2 linked regions of the Sus scrofa genome follow. The protein of the gene in region 2 interacts with the protein of the main gene of each other region in a biochemical or structural test. Links are inferred from orthologs where the notes say so. Each region holds a gene or a part of one and is shown on either strand. Other genes may lie near its edges. The genes, in order: RARA and NRIP1.

The links.
Region 1: the proteins of NRIP1 (region 2) and RARA form a complex in vitro, tested with the Homo sapiens proteins (4 studies listed by BioGRID). The link is inferred for Sus scrofa from reciprocal best matches to the Homo sapiens genes NRIP1 and RARA.

The regions. Positions count from the first base shown.
Region 1 is NC_010454.4:22,072,161-22,075,977, forward strand, and holds part of RARA (retinoic acid receptor alpha), read right to left. Parts: intron 1,153-3,817; exon of another isoform or gene 1,062-1,152; intron 820-1,061; 5' UTR 452-819; coding exon 274-451; intron 1-273. UniProt on the Homo sapiens protein: Receptor for retinoic acid. Retinoic acid receptors bind as heterodimers to their target response elements in response to their ligands, all-trans or 9-cis retinoic acid, and regulate gene expression in various biological processes.
Region 2 is NC_010455.5:179,829,120-179,832,936, forward strand, and holds part of NRIP1 (nuclear receptor-interacting protein 1), read right to left. Parts: intron 2,071-3,817; 5' UTR 1,759-2,070; coding exon 1-1,758. UniProt on the Homo sapiens protein: Modulates transcriptional activation by steroid receptors such as NR3C1, NR3C2 and ESR1. Also modulates transcriptional repression by nuclear hormone receptors.

The sequences.
Region 1 (3,817 bases), on a different chromosome or scaffold from region 2:
GAGCTATTTATAAGGCCCTCAACGCAGAGCACAGGAGGGGGGCATAAGGGGCCCTGCGGGTCAGCCTTGTTTCATCTCTCCCTCTGCCACCCCCAACGCCAAACACAAGCACCGTGACGGGCCCCAAGCCTTTCATCCTCGATGCTGCCTCCCCAACGACTGTCCCCCTTGTCTGGAGATCTCACCACGGCGGAACAGATGCGCCCAGAGGCCCAGCCTCAGGCCCACTACCCTCCACGGCCCCCCTCCCGCCGTGCCCGCCACCCCACTTACTGGCTGGGGACGGTGTGCTGTAGCCGCTAACTGGAAGCGGGTGCTGGAGAGTGGTCAGAGCGCCCGGCGGGGAGAGCCCCCCCAGCATGGGGGGGAAGAAGAAGGCGTAGGGGGGCACCGGGTACCCATTGAGGTGCCCTCCCCCGGGTGTTGGGCAGGAGCTGCTGTTGCTGGCCATGCCAAGCAGCCACAGTCACAAGAGCAGGCAGACAGTCTGGCAGGAGGCTCTGGCGGGCTTCAGGCCGCCTCTCCTCGGGGCATGGGGCCGGGGCCCAGAGGGGGTTTGGGTGGTCAGCCCACCCCCCCTTCTTGTCCTGGAGCTGCTCGGTCCAAGGCTCGCAGGCTAACTGCAGCCTCCCGGAGCCCCCACTCGGGCTGGGGGCCAGGTGGGCTGGGGAACGTCCTAAGAGCTGGTCCTCTGGTCAAGCGGTTGTATGAGCTGGCACTTTCCCGGGAAGGTCCAGAGCCGGTTGGAAGGATGCTGAAAAGGATGCCTCTCCTAGACGGGCCCTGGCAAGGCGGCTGGAGGGGCCATGTCCTGCGATGCTGCAGAGAGAAGAAAGGCAGGTGAGTGGGCACCAAGGAGCAGGCATTCCCCGCGGAGCTCCCCAACCTGGGCGGCCGGAGATTTTCCCGTGGCACCCGGCTGAGCAGACAGCTGGCACCATGCCTGGCTGGCAGAGACAGCCTGGGAGCAGGGCCCAGACACTGCTGGGGGTGGCAGGACCGCACAGCCAGGCTGGGGAGACGACAGGGGACAGAGCCCAGAGCCCAGGAGGGCCTCTCACCCACGATCCTGAGAGGAAAGGGGCCACCGTGCCATGCCACCCCCGAGGATTCCTGCAGCTGAGGAAGGCAGCTGGCCCTCCTTCCCTCAAAGCAGGTTACCTGAGGTCAAGATGCAGAGACGTGCGCTGGATGGGAGGGGGGAGGGGGAGGAAAAGCCGCTTCCCTAAAGCATTGGCACTTCTCAGAAAAATGACTCCTAAACCAGGGGGCCCCTCTTACACCACTTCCCCCCCAAATCCAAGCCCGAGCACCCCAGATGGGTTTGTCCCACAGGCGCAGGGAGGAGGCCTGCGTGCTTACATACAAACAGGGAAACGGGAACTGAGGGCCCCTGGGCATCACCTCCAGTGCTTAAGAGCATGATGGGCCGGGGGTGGGCAGCGTGCCAGGAGGGCAGGGACTGCCCAGGGTGGAAGCCCCCTCCTCCCAAGCAATGAAGGAGCAAAGGAGACTGGTCTCAGAGTCCATCCCCACACTCGGTCTGCAGAAGCAACGTCCCCAGAGGGAGGGAGGTGGGCAGAAGATGAGAGGCCAAAAGCACCCCCCTCAACTGGTGTGCAGGCAGATCCACACCCTGTTTGAACAGCTGGGACCAGAAGACACGCACAGATAGAACCCTGGGTAGCAAGAGACAGAGAAGAACCCCGAAATTCCATGACACAGTGAGACAGGCGGCAACAAAGCAAAGAAAGAGGTGGAGAAAGAGAAGCATCCACAAGACGATGCTTCAAATCCACCTGGGGTGTAGGAGGATATACATAAACAATGTAAGTCAAAGGCATGTGTTTATATGTACACACACACACACACACACACACACACACACGACACACAGGAAAGGCAAAAGAAACCTGGCCAATCAAAACCACGAGATATCACTTCACATCTACTCAGACGGCTATCATCAAAAAGACTGATGATAACAGAGGAGTTCCTGTTGTGGCACAGCGGAAATGAATCTGACCGGGAACCATGAGGTTGCAGGTTCAATCCCTGGCCTTGCTCAGTGAATTAAGGATCCAGCGTTGCCGAGAGCTGTGGTGTAGGTTGCAGATGTGGCTCGGATCTGGCAGGGCTATGGCTGTGGTGTAGGCCGGCAGCTGTAGCTCCGATTAAACCCCTAGCCTGGGAACCTCCATATGCCACAGGTGTGGCCCTAAAAACCAAAAAAAAAAAAAAAAAAAAAAAGACTGATAATAACAGGTGTGTGAGCACATGGAGACAGCAAAACCCTCATACGTTGCTGGTGGGAATGGAAACCGGTGCCGCTGCTTTGCAGAACAGTGCGGCAGTTCCTTTAAAGGTTAAACACAGGGTTGTATGATCCAGCAATTCCACTCCTAGGTTTTGACCCAGGAGAAATTAAAACATAAATCCACACAAAAACTGGCACCCGGATGCGGATGCTCATACCAACACTCCTAACAGCCCCACAGTAGAAGCAACCCAAATGTCCATCAACAGATGAATGGGTAAATAAAATGTTGGTCATCCATGCAATGGAATATTATTCTGCCATCAAAAGGAACGAGGTGCTGAAATACATGACAATACGCGTAAAGCTTGAAAAGATTATGCTCGTTGTAAAAGACCACATATTGTACAATTCCATTTATGTGAAATGTCCCAAACAGGCACATCTCTAAAGGCAGAAAGCAGATTGTGGTTACCAGGTCTGGGGCGTGGATCTAAAGGAAATGGGAAGTGGCTGCTGATGAGTATGGGGGCTCTTTCTGGAGTGATGAAAATTTTCTAAAAGTGATTGTGGTAACTGTTGCACAACTCTAAACCAGTGAATTGTACACTTTTTCTTTGTCTTTTTAGGGCCGCACCCACAGCATATGGAGGTTCCCAGGCTAGGGGTCCAATGGGAGCTGTAGCCGCCAGCCTACACCACAGCCACGGCAACACAGGATCCGAGCTGTGTCCTCGACCCACACCACAGCTCATAGCAACACCAGAGTCTTAACCCACTGAGCAAGGCCAGGGATCAAACCTCCATCCTCATGGATACTAGTCGGGTTTGTTAAACCACTGAGCCACAACAGGAACTCCGAATTGTACGCTTTTCTTTCTTTCTTTTACTGTTTTGTTTTTGTTTTTGTTTTTGTTTTTGTTTTTGTTTTTGCTTTTTAGGACGGCACTAGCAGCATATGGAGGTTCTCAGGCTAGGGGTCTAATCAGGGCCACAGTTGTCGGCCTGCACCAGAGCTCAGGGCAACGCCTGATCCTTAACCCACTGAGGGAGGCCAGGGATCGAACCGTCAACCTCATGGTTCCTAGTCGGATTCGTTTCCACTGTGCCACAACGGGAACTCCCAAATGGTACACTTTAATGGGCGAATTTTATATTTTATGGTATGGGAATTATATCTTCCATAAAGCTGTTAAAAAGAAGAAAAGAGAAGAAGGAAAGAAGAGACAAGAAAAGAAAAGAAAAGAAAAGAAAAGAAAAGAAAAGAAAAGGGGAAACAGGGAGTTCCCGTCGTGGCGCAGTGGTTAACGAATCCGACTAGGAACCATGAGGTTGCGGGTTCGGTCCCTGCCCTTGCTCAGTGGGTTAATGATCCGGCGTTGCCGTGAGCTGTGGTGTAGGTTGCAGACGCGGCTCGGATCCCGCGTTGCTGTGGCTCTGGCGTAGGCCGGTGGCTACAGCTCCGATTCAACCCCTAGCCTGGGAACCTCCATATGCCGCGGGAGCGGCCCAAGAAATAGCAACAACAACAAAAGACAAAAAGACAAAAGACAAAAAAAA
Region 2 (3,817 bases):
AGACGGAGGGCCACAGGCATACGGTGGGGAATTCCATCTAATGACCAAAGAATGCTGGGAAAGGTTGATGGGAGACTCGGCTTTGGCCGATGCAAGTAGGGGTGGAGTGCTCACTGGCGTCGTCCTGTTGGTACCCGGGCTTTCAATGACAGAGGTCCGAGCATAGTTCTGTGTGCTGAACTTTGTCACATCACTGTGGACTTCCTGAGGGCTGTTGTTTCTTTCTACATTTTCTTCATTCTTATGGCCGAGGAGCAGCTGAAGAAGGGTCACTTTCTGGTGTGAATTTAGCCTAGAATTCTTTGAGGTATCTTGATCTTCTTTGTTATCTACTTCGGGGACTTTGGGATCCCAAGTGTTTAGTAAGGACTGAGTTAAGTTATCTAGAGAAACAGGCTGGTCAGGTTCTGGCTTTTCGGTTCGGTGCTTGCAAGACAAGTCTATGGGCACACAGTTGGAATAAGAGCTTTCATCACCACTGCTATCATCTGTAAAACTGGGATTGTTATCTGAGTAGTCATCAATAGTTGTAGGTGTACTGCTCTCCTCAAAAATGCTTCCTCTCTCACTGTGACTGTGTCCGTTCATTGGCTTAGGTATGGTCTGGCTTTTAAGAAGATGTAAAAGCAAACTATTATTAGCAGCTTGTTTGATATTGTTTCTTTCCAGTGAATTCTTATAGCCTGCATTTTTGGGGGAAGAAGGAACGAGACCCATTGGACTTTGAAATGTTGTACTTTTGCTAGCCATTAATTTGTTTGATGATGTTCTTGCCTGGCCATTAAGATGGCCTGACACTCCTTTGGAGACCTGGAAACTGCCCACATCCTTCTGGCCATTTTCCTGTAATCTGGCCATAGCAGCAAGTCTTTCACTCGCTGCCTGATTTGCATTTTGTGTTTTTAAAGCATGTTCTCGAGAATACTGCTGTAAATGGGCTTCGCTTGAAAGGAGTAATGCTAATTGGCTACAAGCAACACTGGGTTTGGGTGAAGTGGCAGGACTAGCCCTTTTTTCCACCATGCTTGCAACAGCTTGTAATCTTGCAGCGCATGACAAAGGTTCACTCAGGACCTTTGTTCCACTTTGTCCAACATGATGAGGTGACTCTACGAACCTCTCTCTGATGAGGTTTTTAGTTACGTCAGGGAGATTTGTATCAGGCTTTTGATCTTTAGCTTTACTTTTCTTCAACAATGTTTTTAAGTGACTTGACGCAACACCGTAGCACCTTAAATCTTTCTCCACTTTTAAAGAATCATGACTGAGGGCATACCCTTGCTCCTTGAGGCTCTGCCTAATTTGTTGTGACAGAGCAACAGTCTGCAGCCTAGAGCTGAATGACTGAAGCAAAGAGGCCAGTAATGTGCTATCCTGTTTGCCTTTAGGCACATTGTCAACCATGCCAGCCAGCAAAGCCTCCTTCTTTACGTTTAAATTGACGATGGAATCAGACAGCCTCTTCCGCTTCGCTGCATTCCAGTCCTCAGAAGACTGCAATAGCCTGGCTTTTTTGAGATGCAGCATGCCAGATCCCTGATATGTGTGTGTATTGAGAACTGGACCATTACTTTGACAGGTGGGAAATGCATTACCGGAAATGTTAAAGTTCTGATCTTCTTCATTACGCCCAGCAGACTTTTTGTCGACGGCAGTACCTGATCCCTCTGCTGCCTGATGCATTAGTAATCCTTCTAGGTAAGTTAAAACAATAGAATCCTGGTGCACATCAGAGCCAAGCTCTTCTCCATGAGTCATGTTCAATAGAAGTGTTCACAAGGGCTTGGTTTCTATTCACTTTGAAGAATGGTTTTTTTTTTGGGTGAATGAGATGTAATGTTAATAAGTGAGTGTCAGTTTATCACCTTCCATAGTAATTAGACAGAGGTGTACTGTTACATTCCGACCAGGATTCCTGCTGGCAGTGGCGAGATAAATGGCAGGCCGACCCCAGTGCAGTCCGACCATAGAGCTGATCAACTCCCAAGTAAGAAGCAGCAGCAGAATCCTTAGTGAATACACTGCTTCTTCTTCATCTTTTGTTCCCCAATAAATGCAAATATCAGTGTTCTAGAAAAATTAAAGAAAAAAATAGTTAAGGAGGTGAAGAATTAGAATTGTACTCTGATATGTGAAAGCAAAACAATCTAGCGCTTGTAAGCTGATATGCGTATATATACCCACATGCAATGTACATATTTATGCATTATAGATGCTTCTTCAGTAATTTATTTTATTGCCATTCCTATTAAATTGGAAATCTCTACTGGAAATCTTATGGATTAATTAATTTCATATCGTGAAAAGGATCCAATCAGAGAAAATACTTTAATGTTATACAACTGTCTTCCAAAGCCCATTAAGTTTTTGAATTTTCATAAACATCTTTCTGCAAAGTGATGTGATGCTAAGTCGTCTCCCTATAGCACTGCAGCTGTACAAGGGGCTAGTTCTAGCTTCCTTACATTACTCAGAGCTTATGAAGGAACAAGAGGAAAAAGGAGAAGAGATCCATGTGACATGGACTCATCTAATGAGTTGGATGTGAGGTTGAGGCCGACACAACGCTTCTGACATCATCCTCTAAACATCAGCCATCCCCAAAAGAATTTGGAGAATTTCTGTTTTCAAAGAATTGGAAGCCCTAACAAGTGTAAGATTCTTCTGAAGGGGCATGCAAACTGTGATAGTCTTAGTTAATACACATTTACATAAAATCACAGGCTTATTCACCCATAGTTCTTACCGAGACTTATTAAAAACAAAACCCATTTAGGTCGAGCAAAGTTTGAATGCGTCTGTCTTAAAATTCTTACATCTGTGCTCCATGTAGAACTTGTAAAATAAGGTGCACTCCTAGCAGATGCAGAATACAGGTTACAGATAAGCCTACCATCCTAAGTTTCTAGAATGTTCCTAATATAAAATACTCCTCCCCCTGCCCATGCTATTTCTTTGAGTATGACCTTGTTATCAATAATTACAGATAAATTAAAATATTATGTGATTTGAAAAAAATTTAAAGGATTTAAAAATAAAAGTCATTATTTAAAAAATGTTTTTGGGTACTGCATTAATTTTTGGTTTAGAAAATGTGGTTAGTATAGAGCACATAAAACTATAATAGCAGAAACTGACAGAACATTATAAATCAACTATAATAGAAGTAAAATCTTAAAAAAACCTATAACTATACATATATATATATATATACACACACACACATACTAAGTCATCATATCATCCTGTAGAAAAGTTGGCAAGAAACAAATTTAGAAGAGATTTGAAGAGAAATTCAAAGTTCAAATGGTTATTTCTCATTAACCTCTTTGAAAAGAATATTCTATAAACAAAACCAATTATATGAGGCAAGAAAGAGCTTTTCATAGAAACTCTTTTTTTTTTTTTTTTTTTTTTTTGTCTTTTTGCCTTTTCTAGGGCTGCTCCTGTAGCATATGGAGGTTCTGAGGCTAGGGGTCTAATCAGAGCTGTAGGTGCCGGCCTACACCAGAGCCACAGCAACTCGGGCTACGAGCTTCATCTGCAACCTACACCACAGCTCACGGCAATGCTGGATCCTCAACCCACTGAGCAAGGCCAGGGATCGAACCCAAAACCTCATGGTTCCTCGTCGGGTTCGTTAACCACTGAGCCATGACGGGAACTCCGAAACTCATTTTTTAATAAGATCAACCTGTAACTCAAAGATAGTAGTTACTGAAAAGCTATTCTAGGTGCACTCCCCTGGGGTGCAGGTAGGCAACACCTACCACCATTCTAGCAGAAAATTGGAATACCTCAGAAAGCAGAAATTCCG